3 linked regions of the Macaca mulatta genome follow. The protein of the gene in region 2 interacts with the protein of the main gene of each other region in a biochemical or structural test. Links are inferred from orthologs where the notes say so. Each region holds a gene or a part of one and is shown on either strand. Other genes may lie near its edges.

Region 1 (3,650 bases), on a different chromosome or scaffold from region 2:
CTCTACACCCACTCCTGCTGCTGCCCTGTGGTTGGTCTGTCCCCAGCATGAGCCCCTTACCCTCTCCCTCCTGTGTCCGAGTGCAGGGCGTTCTGCTCATCATTTGTCAGCTGTGACGACCATCCAGGATCTTCCTGGGGACCGAGGAAAGTGGGAAGTACAGGAAAGAGAGACTGAAAGTGTCAGGACTTTCAAAGCGAGCCAGATACTTGGTGTCAGGATGGACTGGACTAGGAGAGGCCTTTGGAAGGTGTTGGATTGTAAGGGTGAGCCTGAGAGGAAAAAGGATGATAAGTGCCTGGGAAAAGAGAGAGGAATACAAGGGAACACTTTTTGTTTGAGCCTCATTGAACCAGGAGATCTGCAGATGAAATTGAGAGGAGTAAGCAAGTTGGAAAGGGAAGCTTGCTAGATAGGCAAATGCTGAACTTGGTTTTAGGCACTCAGTTAAATGACAGTTGGCCTCCCAATCAGAGGTGTGATAACAGTCTTTTAGGGAACAAAAGACCGTGTGCAGAAGGCAAATGTCAACAGGGAAAGACACCTCTGAACATGGCTCAAAAGAAGGGTGGAGTTGGGAGATTGAGAAGGAGGCAGACATGGAACTTGGGGATATGGTTGTCCCCAGGGAGGGAGTTGGGGCATCTGTTGTCATGCCAAGGATCTGCAGTAGTGAGAAGTGAGGCTCAGGCGTCTTGGGTGCAGCCTGCACGGCAGCAGCCCTGAGGAGAAACACTGGGCCGGAGCCTCATGCATTGCAGTCGGCATGAAGTCAAATCCTCAGCAGGACTGAGAAAGGCTCTGCATCCCGTCATCTGGGTATTCCACAAACACTCTAGAATCATAATTCCCTCTTCAGATTGTTTCAAGTTCCCAAAAATAAAAAGTAGTTCTTTCATATTTCCCATATATTTCCTGTCTGCAGTGTTCAGTACAGAAGTGTTTTGCTCTAATGTGCTGAGTTGTTTTTAATTATATGCCATGCTGGGTTTCAGACAGTGGAGAACTGCGTGTGCACCCTGAGGAACCTGTCCTATCGGCTAGAGCTGGAGGTGCCCCAGGCCCGGTTACTGGGACTGAACGAATTGGATGACTTACTAGGAAAAGAGTCTCCCAGCAAAGACTCTGAGCCAAGCTGCTGGGGGAAGAAGAAGAAAAAGAAAAAGAGGACTCCGCAAGAAGACCAAGTTAGCATTTTATCTGATATGAGACTCACGTTTCATTTTTCTGGGAGTGAGGAATCACATATTTGGCAAGAAAATAAATTTTCTGCATAGCTATAGCTGAGTCCCGCAAAGGTGAATGTTTTCAAGTATTGAAGATCATGTTCATTCTGCCTCCATTTAACATGTGCTATTTGTCTTTCAGTGGGATGGAGTTGGTCCTATCCCAGGATTGTCAAAGTCCCCCAAAGGGGTTGAGATGCTGTGGCACCCATCGGTGGTAAAACCATATCTGACTCTTCTAGCAGAAAGTTCCAACCCAGCCACCTTGGAAGGCTCTGCCGGGTCTCTCCAGAACCTCTCTGCTGGCAACTGGAAGGTAGGATGACTTCCGCGTATCTACACTTCTTTCCATCTTTGCAAATTAACTTGAAATGTTACATGTATATGTTCTGCCTCAGTCAGATCAGCCCTGATGATGAAATGGTCACAGTTACTTAGTTTGTCTGTGAAGGGGGTAAAGGGAAAAAAGGGAGACATGCAGTTGCTCTGGGGATCCAAAGATAAATACAAGTCCCTCACTGTGAGAAACAGAAGGCTAGTGAGAAAAATAGATGGTGCCAGCACAGTGTAGAAGCCACAGGATGTGTGTGTTGTGGGGTCCTGAAAGAAGACATCTAACCCAGCCACACAGTGTAAGGGAAGGTCAGGAAAAATGCGGAGTGAGGACATGGAGGAGATTTCCTGAAGGGGATGCTGCCCAGCAGAATCTCTAAGGATGAATGAAAGTAAGCCAGTAGAGGCTGAGGCTGCAGTATAGAGGGAGCCATCCAGATAACAGGGACAATAGGAGGAAAGTATCGCGGTGCAGAGAAGACAGTGTGGGCCAGGACTACTGGCTGCCCTCTGGGGCCCAGTGTGGAGCCAGGCATCATGGATAGGCCTGAAGGCCAAATTTCAGGAGCTGAGTCCTAACCTGCACACAGGAGGGGCTACTGAAAGAGTCTGGGCAAATGAGTGACAGAGACGGGCTAATGTCATCACTGCTCACCCACTTACATGGCAGTGCAAAAGGTGGATTCAAGGAAGGGAGAGTTAGAAGCAGGGATTGCATTTGGGAGCCAGTGCAGCAGTACAAACAGGTGAGAGATCTTGAGTGGCAGAACAGAACACAGGTTGGGCAGTGCTGTGGGGAGGGATAGAGGACCTCACTCTGTTCCTCTCAGGTAGTTACAGGCATGCCTGTGTCTAAGGTTTCTGCATCTCTTTGCAGATGTATGACTATAAAAACTGAAGACAGTTTCCTCTTGTTACCACTGTAAGCAAGTTCTCAGAACTTTCTAAATGTCCCCCAGCAACTTCCCAGACAGTCCTTGTCTAAGACATTTTCAACCTCTAGAAATTTCCTGACAGGTGTATTTTGTAGCGTTTACGATGCTTGCTTTTGGCTACTTATCCCACCTTAACCCCCCAAAATGAGAATCTTTTGGTGATAGTGTTTTCAAGATAGTGAAAAGAATTGATAAACCTAGGTATGGTTTGTTTCATGCAAGTGGCCACTATGTTGAATATAGACCGATAACTATGGTCTAGTGCTAAGCCAGTATGGTGATTTTGTTGTGGCTCCTAGTTAAAGTGCCAGTGACTCCATGTGTAAGTGCTGGCTCTGAATCCAGGCAACTCTGCTTACCGTCTGGCAGCCTAGAGGCTCTGCCCACAGTTTCCACCTCCCTAAAATAAAGCGAATATTAATACCTGCCTTATAAGGTGGTTGTGAGGATTTAGTGAGATACTCCCAGCACATAGGTATTTATATAAACATTTATGTTGTAGAACAGCCTTCACCTTCAGCTTCTGTGACCAGAAGATTATTTGATGACACTAAAAAAGACAATAATTGAAATCGATGTGATTTGAGTTGTTTCGAAGTTCGTGTCTGGGATCATTTAGTGAGAGTTAGATGGCAAGCTCATTTAAAATATAAACATTATATCTAAGCGATTTCAATAGTGAGTTAAAATATTGGACCTTCACTAAGAAAATGAGATAATCGTGGCCACAAGTGTTATCAAGTAAGAAGCTATTTCAGGAGCAGCAATGGCTGTAGTTCTCCAGAAGGGAGACAGACTGGGCTGGGCTGAGCTGGGCTAGGCTGGGCTGGGCTGGGCTGGGCTGGGCTGGGCTGGGCTGGTAGGTCTCCAAGTGAGACAGAAGGAGATGGTTCTGTTGTTGCAGGTTTCAGAGAGAGAAGTTCATAAAACTGCCTGAGTGCTTTGCCCAGTAACAAGTCAAGTACTTCATTTCCCCCCTGTAGACTTCATTTGATTTGAAAAATAGGAGTATGCATTTCATATGCAGAATATAAATAGGATCTTTGAAATGCATCTTTCCCTCTTATTTGTATTATTAAAATAATCTATTCTGTTGGTATTCAAGAAACTGGATGGTCAATCACATATTTTAATGTTCAAAATAATACAAAGGCCT
Region 2 (3,650 bases):
TTCTCCACATAGGACTGGACAGCTCCTCAGACCTCATCTCTTCCCCAGGAAAGAAGGGGGCCGCTTATCCTGACCCCAGCAAGACCTCTGTAGACACAGGGCGAGTCAGTCGGCCGGAGAATCCCAGTCAGTCTGCATCACCCAGGGTCGCCGAGTACAAGGCCAGGTCTCCAGTCAGGCTGCCCCATGAGGGCAGCCCCTCCCTGGGGGAGAAAGCAGTGGCTCCCCCCGACCGCAGCAAGACTCGATCAGCATCGGAAACCAGCACACCCCACAATACCAGGAGGGCGGCTTTCCTCAGGGGAGCGGGACCTGGGGCAGAGGGAGTGACAGCAGCTGGGGCTGTCCTGCCAGGAGACCCCCTCACATCCCAGGAGCAGAGACAGGGAGCTCCGGGTAACCACAGTAAGGCTCTGGAAATGACAGGAACCCGTGCACCTGAAAGCTCCCAGGAGCCTTCCCTGTTGGAGGGAGCAGATTCTGTGTCCTCAAAGGCACCGCAGGCCAGCCTCTCCCTTCTGCCATCCACTGACAACACCAAAGCAGCATGTGGCCGTGTCTCGGGGCAGTGTTGCCCGGCGGGGAGTGGAGAGAGCCCTGTGACGGACATTGACAGCTTCATCAAGGAGTTGGATGTTTCTGCAGCGAGGTCTCCATCTTCCCAGACGGGGGACAGTGGCTGTCAGGAGGGCAGTGCTCAGGGCCGGCCACCAGCCGGGGCTGGAGGTGGGAGCTCCTGCCGTGCCGAACCAGTCACAGGGGGCCAGACCTCCTCCCCAAGGAGGGCCTGGGCTGCTGGTGCCCCCCCTCACCCACAGTGGGCCTCCCAGCCTTCGGTTTTAGATTCAGTTAATCCCGACAAACATTTTACTGTGAACAAAAACTTTTTGAGCAACTACTCTAGAAATTTTAGCAGCTTTCATGAAGACAGCACCTCCCTATCAGGCCTGGGCGATAGCACGGAGCCGTCTCTGTCATCCATGTATGGCGATGCTGAGGATTCTTCTTCTGACCCTGAGTCACTCACCGAAGCCCCACGAGCTTCCGCCAGGGACGGCTGGTCCCCTCCTCGTTCCCGTGTGTCTTTGCACAAGGAAGATCCTTCGGAGTCGGAAGAGGAACAGATTGAAATTTGTTCCACAAATGGCTGCCCCAATCCACCCTCGAGTCCTGCTCATCTTCCCACCCAGGCTGCCATCTGTCCTGCCTCAGCCAAAGTTCTATCATTAAAATACAGCACTCCGAGAGTGTCAGTGGCCAGTCCCCGTGAGAAGGCTGCCTGCTTGCCAGCCTCATACACTTCAGGCCCAAACTCTTCCCAGCCATCTTCACTCTTGGAAGTGAGCTCTCAGGAGCATGAAAGTCATGTGAACATAAGCGCTTCACAGAACCACAGGCCCTCGTGTGCAGAAGAAACCACGGAAGTCACCAGCGCTAGCTCAGCCATGGAAAACAGTCAGCTGTCTAAAGTAGCCAGGCATTTTCACAGTGCGCCCATCATTCTCAGCTCCCCCAACATGGTAAACGGCTTGGCACGTGACATGCTAGATGATGAAACCCTGAATCAGTACGAAACAAGCATTAATGCAGCTGCCAGTCTGTCCTCCTTCAGTGTGGATGTCCCTAAGAATGGAGAATCTGCTTTGGAAAACCTCCACATCTCTGAAAGTCAAGACCTCGATGACTTGCTACAGAAACCCAAGATGATGGGTAGGAGGCCCATCATGGCCTGGTTCAAAGAAATAAATAAACATAACCAAGGCACACATTTGAAGAGCAAAACCGAGAAGGAACAACCTCTGATGGCTGTCAGAAGTCCCGACTCCAAGATTCAGATAGTGAGTTCAAGCCAAAAAAAGGGCGTTGCTGTGCCTCCTAGCCCTCCTCAGCCGAAAACCAATCTGGAAAATAAGGACCTGTCTAAGAAGAGTCCGGCAGAAGTGCTTCCGACTAACGGTCAGAAGCCAAAGTGTGGTCCGAAGCTGAAGAGGCTCAGCCTCAAGGGCAAGGCCAAAGTCAGCTCCGAGGCCCCTGCTGCGAACGCCGTGAAGGCTGGGGGGACGGACCACAGGAAACCCTTGATCTCACCCCAGACCTCCCACCAAACACTTTCTAAGGTGGTGTCACAGCGGCTCCATGCAGCCGACCGCGAGGACCCTGACAGAAACACCACAGCCGCCCCCAGGTCCCCGCAGTGTGTGCTGGACAGCAAGCCACCTCTTGCCACCTCTGGGTCCCTGAAACCCTCAGTGTCTGACACGAGCATCAGGATGTTCGTGTCGCCCCTGACCTCTCCCAAGCCTCCTCCTGAGCAAGGCGTGTGGAGCAGGTTCCACGTGGCTGTCCTCTCTGAACCTGACAGAGGTTGCCCAGCCACCCCTAAATCTCCTAAGTGTGGAGCAGAGGGCAGGGCGCCCCGTGCTGACTCTGGGCCGGTGAGTTCCACAGCATCTAGGAACGGCGTGTCCGTGGCAGGGAACAGACAGAGTGAGCAGCACCTGGCCAGCCACATGGACTCGGCAGCAGACACAGCCCAACCCAGGCCAACTGGCGAAAAAGGAGGCAGCATAGTGGCCAGCGATCGCCTTGAAAGAACAAACCAGCTGAAAATTGTGGAGATTTCTGCTGAAACAGTGCCAAAGACTGTATGTGGTAACAGGCCAGCTGAAAGTGACAGACAGGGAGGGTGCTTGGCCCAGGGCAACTGTCAGGAGAAGAGTGAAATCAGGCTCTGTCGCCAGGTCACAGAATCATCCACAAGTCACCCGTCCTCACTCCCGTCTCATGCCCCACAGGCGGAGCAGGAAATGTCACGATCATTCGGCGTGGCGAAACTGGTCTCCTCCTCCTCCTCCCCTCAAATGCCCATTAGAAAGGCAGATTCCTCCCAGGGAAAATCAAGCCTGATGTCAGACTCCCTAGGGCTGCCCAGAAGTGGCATTCTAGGGGGGCCCTCGGGGGAGGACCATCTCTACTTCACCCCAAGGCCAGCAACCAGGACCTACTCCATGCCAGCCCAGTTCTCAAGCCATTTTGGACGGGAGAGTCACCCCCCACACAGTCTGGGTCGCTCTCCTCGTGACAGCCACGTCCCTGTGACAAGCAGTGTTGTCCCCGAGGCAAAGGCATCCAGAGGTGGTCTTCCCAGCCTGGCTGACGGACAGGGCGTATATAGTGTAAAGCCGCTGCTGGAAACATCGAGGAATCTTCCAGCCACAGATGAAGGGGATATCATTTCAGTCCAGGAGACGAGCTGCCTAGTCACAGACAAAATCAAAGTCACCAGACGACACTACTGCTATGAGCAGAACTGGCCCCACGAATCTACCTCATTTTTCTCTGTGAAGCAGCGGATCAAGTCTTTTGAGAACCTGGCCAATGCTGACCGGCCTGTAGCCAAGTCCGGGGTTTCTCCATTTTTGTCGGTGAGCTCCAAGCCTCCCATTGGGAGGCGGTCTTCCGGCAGCATTGTTTCAGGGAGCCTGGGCCACCCAGGTGATGCAGCAGCAAGGTCGTTGAGACGCAGCTTGAGTTCCTGCAGCGAAAACCAAAGTGAAGCCGGCACCCTCCTCCCCCAGATGGCCAAGTCTCCCTCAAGCATGACACTGACCATCTCCCGGCAGAACCCACCGGAGACCAGTAGCAAGGGC
Region 3 (3,650 bases), about 21 Mb from region 2:
TTTGCGCCCAGCCTGGGCAGCGCCTTCCACCTGCCCGACGCGCCGCCTACCGCCGCCGCCGCCGCCGCGCTCTACTACTCCAGCTCCACGCTGCCCGCGCCGCCGCGCGGGGGCTCCCCACTGGCCGCGCCCCAGGGCGGCTCGCCCACCAAGCTGCAGCGCGGCGGCTCGGCCCCCGAGGGCGCCACCTACGCCTCGCCGCGCGGCTCCTCGCCCAAGCAGTCGCCCAGCCGCCTGGCCAAGTCCTACAGCACCAGCTCGCCCATCAACATCGTCGTGTCCTCGGCCGGCCTGTCCCCGATCCGCGTGACCTCGCCCCCCACCGTGCAGTCCACCATCTCCTCCTCGCCCATCCACCAGCTGAGCTCCACCATCGGCACGTACGCCACCCTGTCGCCCACCAAGCGCCTGGTCCACGCGTCCGAGCAGTACAGCAAGCACTCGCAGGAGCTGTATGCCACGGCCACCCTCCAGAGGCCGGGCAGCCTGGCAGGTAAAGGCTCGCTGCCACCTGGCGCGGCTCACCTGGGCGCGTGGCGGGGGCGCGGAGGCAGCAGCCGGCTAGAGCAGAAGCGAAGCCGGGAGCGCTGTCGGCCAGGTTGCAGTAGTGACAGGAGATAGAGAACGCCAGGGCTTCCCTGGAACAAGTCGGTATCTTGCCTACAGTTTGTCAGTGACTTCTCTTGGGGAGTAATGTGGTGTCTCAATCTCTAACACCTGTCTCACTCTCTTCTCTCCTCTCTTCTCTCTCTGCCCTCGCCCCAATCTAAAGACTAAATCATAAAAGTAATACACATTTAGGAAAGCATTCCATGGACCTGTTGATGGTATCCAGAAAAAAGTAAAACAAGTAACATTTGCAATATTGACAGGGTCACCTTTAGTTTTCTACATGTCTACATTTCATTGTGGAAAAAGTAAGGGATTTTCCCAAATTAGACGTTCAGCTTACATAGTTTTCAATGGTAGTGGGGAAATAACGAATAATGAATTGCCTTGAATTATTACCCGTTTGTTTTGGCTTGAATTTATTTACATCTTTGCTAAATTAGTTATTGGGAAAAGTAACGGACTCTCCCATACCTGCCATTGGATATACTTGGGTCCTAACACTTGGGACAAAGTCAGCAATGATGCAGTCCCTTGAATTTGTACCTGCTTTATTACAGGGAGGGAGGAGCTGGGTTGGGGGAGACAAACCTGCTTTCCTCTGCCAATTTAGAGGAGGTGACATTTCTGTGGTTGTTATGCCCGTCAGCGACCAGGCTGAGCTGGTGCCTCTCTGCTGTTAGCACCATATGCTCAGCTTAAACAAGACACCATGATTGAAAGACTAATGTTTTGTCTTCTGAAACACCTGACAACTAACCCGGATTTATTGTGAATTTTTTTCCCTTATAGAAGTATTTGGTAATTGTGTCACTCTAGTAACAGATGCTGTGCTCATATGCTTCCTTTCTTGACACAAATAGATGACTGTGAAGATAAATAGGATTAAAAAAAAAGGAACTTGTTGCATGCACAAGGCAGGTGGCCAAGGGCTTCTTTAATTCAGCACAGTTAATTGCCAGTGTGGACTGGCCTGGCCTAACAGGACTCAGGCTGGAGTGCCGCTGCCCACAAAATTGTGCTAGCTACATTTACTGAAATGAAAATATTCTCTCACTCACTGCCTCTCTCTCTTAAATAGAATTTTTGAGGTAGACAATTATTAGTGCCAACCAAGTGTGAGTACCAAAATCTTAATGCTGTAGGGACTCAGGAGTAGCGATCTGCTTAGAAAAGGGGGCGGGGGAACATGTACTGAAACTTCATGTATATGATTCTGTAAAATAATTTACCAGATCATGTCAAGAAATGGGAGATGGGTAGAGTTCTTATGGGACTCCATGACACCCTTCTCAGCCATGCCCACCACCACGGAGAAGAGCAGACTGAGGCGCCAGGAGTCCAGGTGGCCTACTACAGGCCATTTCATTTCTTATACTTATCTCATGAAAGAAATCAGGAGTCTTAGCTTCCAGTTCTTCCTCACACAGGTGATATGTGTAGACTTTTGCATGTTCTACTCTATCATTTCAGTAGCAATCGAGAGGGTGACCACATGGCTGAAGATACCTGTGGAGAGGTTAGGGGAGGGTGAATGGAGCTGAATAGAGCCAACAGCTCCTATCATTGTGTCTAAGAAGGGGCTGTAAAAGTACATTGTAAAAATAACTTGTGTTGCACTTGGGTTACACTGTGGCCCAGGTAAGGTATAAGGGACAAACCCTATGCTTCTGAGAGATTAGAAATATTGGAACTCCGAGACCCCCATGCCTTATTTGGTTTGCTTGATACCATTTGAGGTGTTGTGAAGTTGGGAGCTACTTGGTTTGCTAGTTGAAAGAGCACAGTTAGGTCACGATGGCAAAACAGCTTTTGGAATTTCGGGGTTGTGATTTTAGAGATTTGTCACTGATGACTAGGAAGGGTAGATAAAGGATAAGTAGTGACTTTCACTAATTCATCATTCTGTACACACACACACACACACATACACAGAGTCTCACTCTATTCGTTGCCCAGGCTGGAGTGCAGTGGTGCGATCTTGGTTCACTGCAACATCCACCTCCTGGGTTCAAGCAATTCTCCTGCCTCAGCCTCCCAATAGTGGGATTACAGGCGCCTGCCCCTATACCTAGCTAATTTTTGTATGTTTTGTAGAGACTGGGTTTCACCATGTTGGCCAGGCCAGTCTCAACCTCCTGACCTCAAGTGATCTGCTCGCTTTGGCCTCCCAAAGTGCTGGGATTATAGGCCTGAGCCACCGCACGTGGCCACCTTCGATAATTACCTTTAAGCACCTTTTATGTACTGCCACTGATTTAGATCCCAGGGATGAAGTATCAGCCCAAATCTCTGGCCTTGTTTCAAATGAGGAAGACAGAAAATTATCCAAATACTTTTGATAGATGGCCAGGGAAGGTTCTAATTAGGAAGTGACTTTTTAATATATAATTTCCAACTTTTATTTTAGATTCAGGGGGTACCTCTCTGGGTTTGTTAGCTGGGTATATTGCATGATGCTGAGGTTTGGGGTACAGTTGATCCTGTCACCCAGGTACTGAGCATAGTACCCAGTAGTTTGTTTTTGGGTTTCCAGTGATGCCATTAGTTAGTACACAGTACTTATACAGAAGGTAAGTTTGAATCTGTCCTCACATAGGTGAGTGAGCTGGCCCTATGACTATCTGGGAGAAGGTTTTCTAAGCAGAAGGAACAGCAAATTCAAGGGCTTATAAATGGGGGTGTGTCTGATATGTTTGCTGAGTAGCAAGGAGACCAGGGGGGTTAATCAGAGAGAACAAGAGCAAACACGTGACTTGAGGTCAGTGAGGTGGGAGTGGAAGGCCAAGTCTGAGAGGCCTTGTACTTTACGTATGTTACATAAATAATGTACTTTACATATGTTACATAAATAATTACATACATTACATAAATAATGTAACATATGTAAAGTACCAGCACATTTTCTGGCTCAATAGAAGTTAACTCGTATTAACCTAAGTAATACCTACCATACTACCTTGGGTGTGCAAGGAAGAAGTCATCCATCTTTGCTTCAGACATAGAGCAGGTTTATTGAATCCCAAAACATGTCAGTGTCT

What was found.
Region 1: the proteins of PDZD2 (region 2) and PKP4 form a complex in vitro, tested with the Homo sapiens proteins (2 studies listed by BioGRID and IntAct, with this or other methods). The link is inferred for Macaca mulatta from reciprocal best matches to the Homo sapiens genes PDZD2 and PKP4.
Region 3: the proteins of PDZD2 (region 2) and CTNND2 form a complex in vitro, tested with the Homo sapiens proteins (2 studies listed by BioGRID and IntAct, with this or other methods). The link is inferred for Macaca mulatta from reciprocal best matches to the Homo sapiens genes PDZD2 and CTNND2.

The regions. Positions count from the first base shown.
Region 1 is NC_133417.1:63,526,928-63,530,577, forward strand, and holds part of PKP4 (plakophilin-4), read left to right. Parts: intron 1-995; coding exon 996-1,187; intron 1,188-1,368; coding exon 1,369-1,542; intron 1,543-3,650. UniProt on the Homo sapiens protein: Plays a role as a regulator of Rho activity during cytokinesis. May play a role in junctional plaques.
Region 2 is NC_133411.1:33,459,869-33,463,518, forward strand, and holds part of PDZD2 (PDZ domain-containing protein 2), read left to right. Parts: intron 1-12; coding exon 13-3,650.
Region 3 is NC_133411.1:12,535,759-12,539,408, reverse strand, and holds part of CTNND2 (catenin delta-2), read left to right. Parts: coding exon 1-493; intron 494-3,650. UniProt on the Homo sapiens protein: Has a critical role in neuronal development, particularly in the formation and/or maintenance of dendritic spines and synapses. Involved in the regulation of Wnt signaling.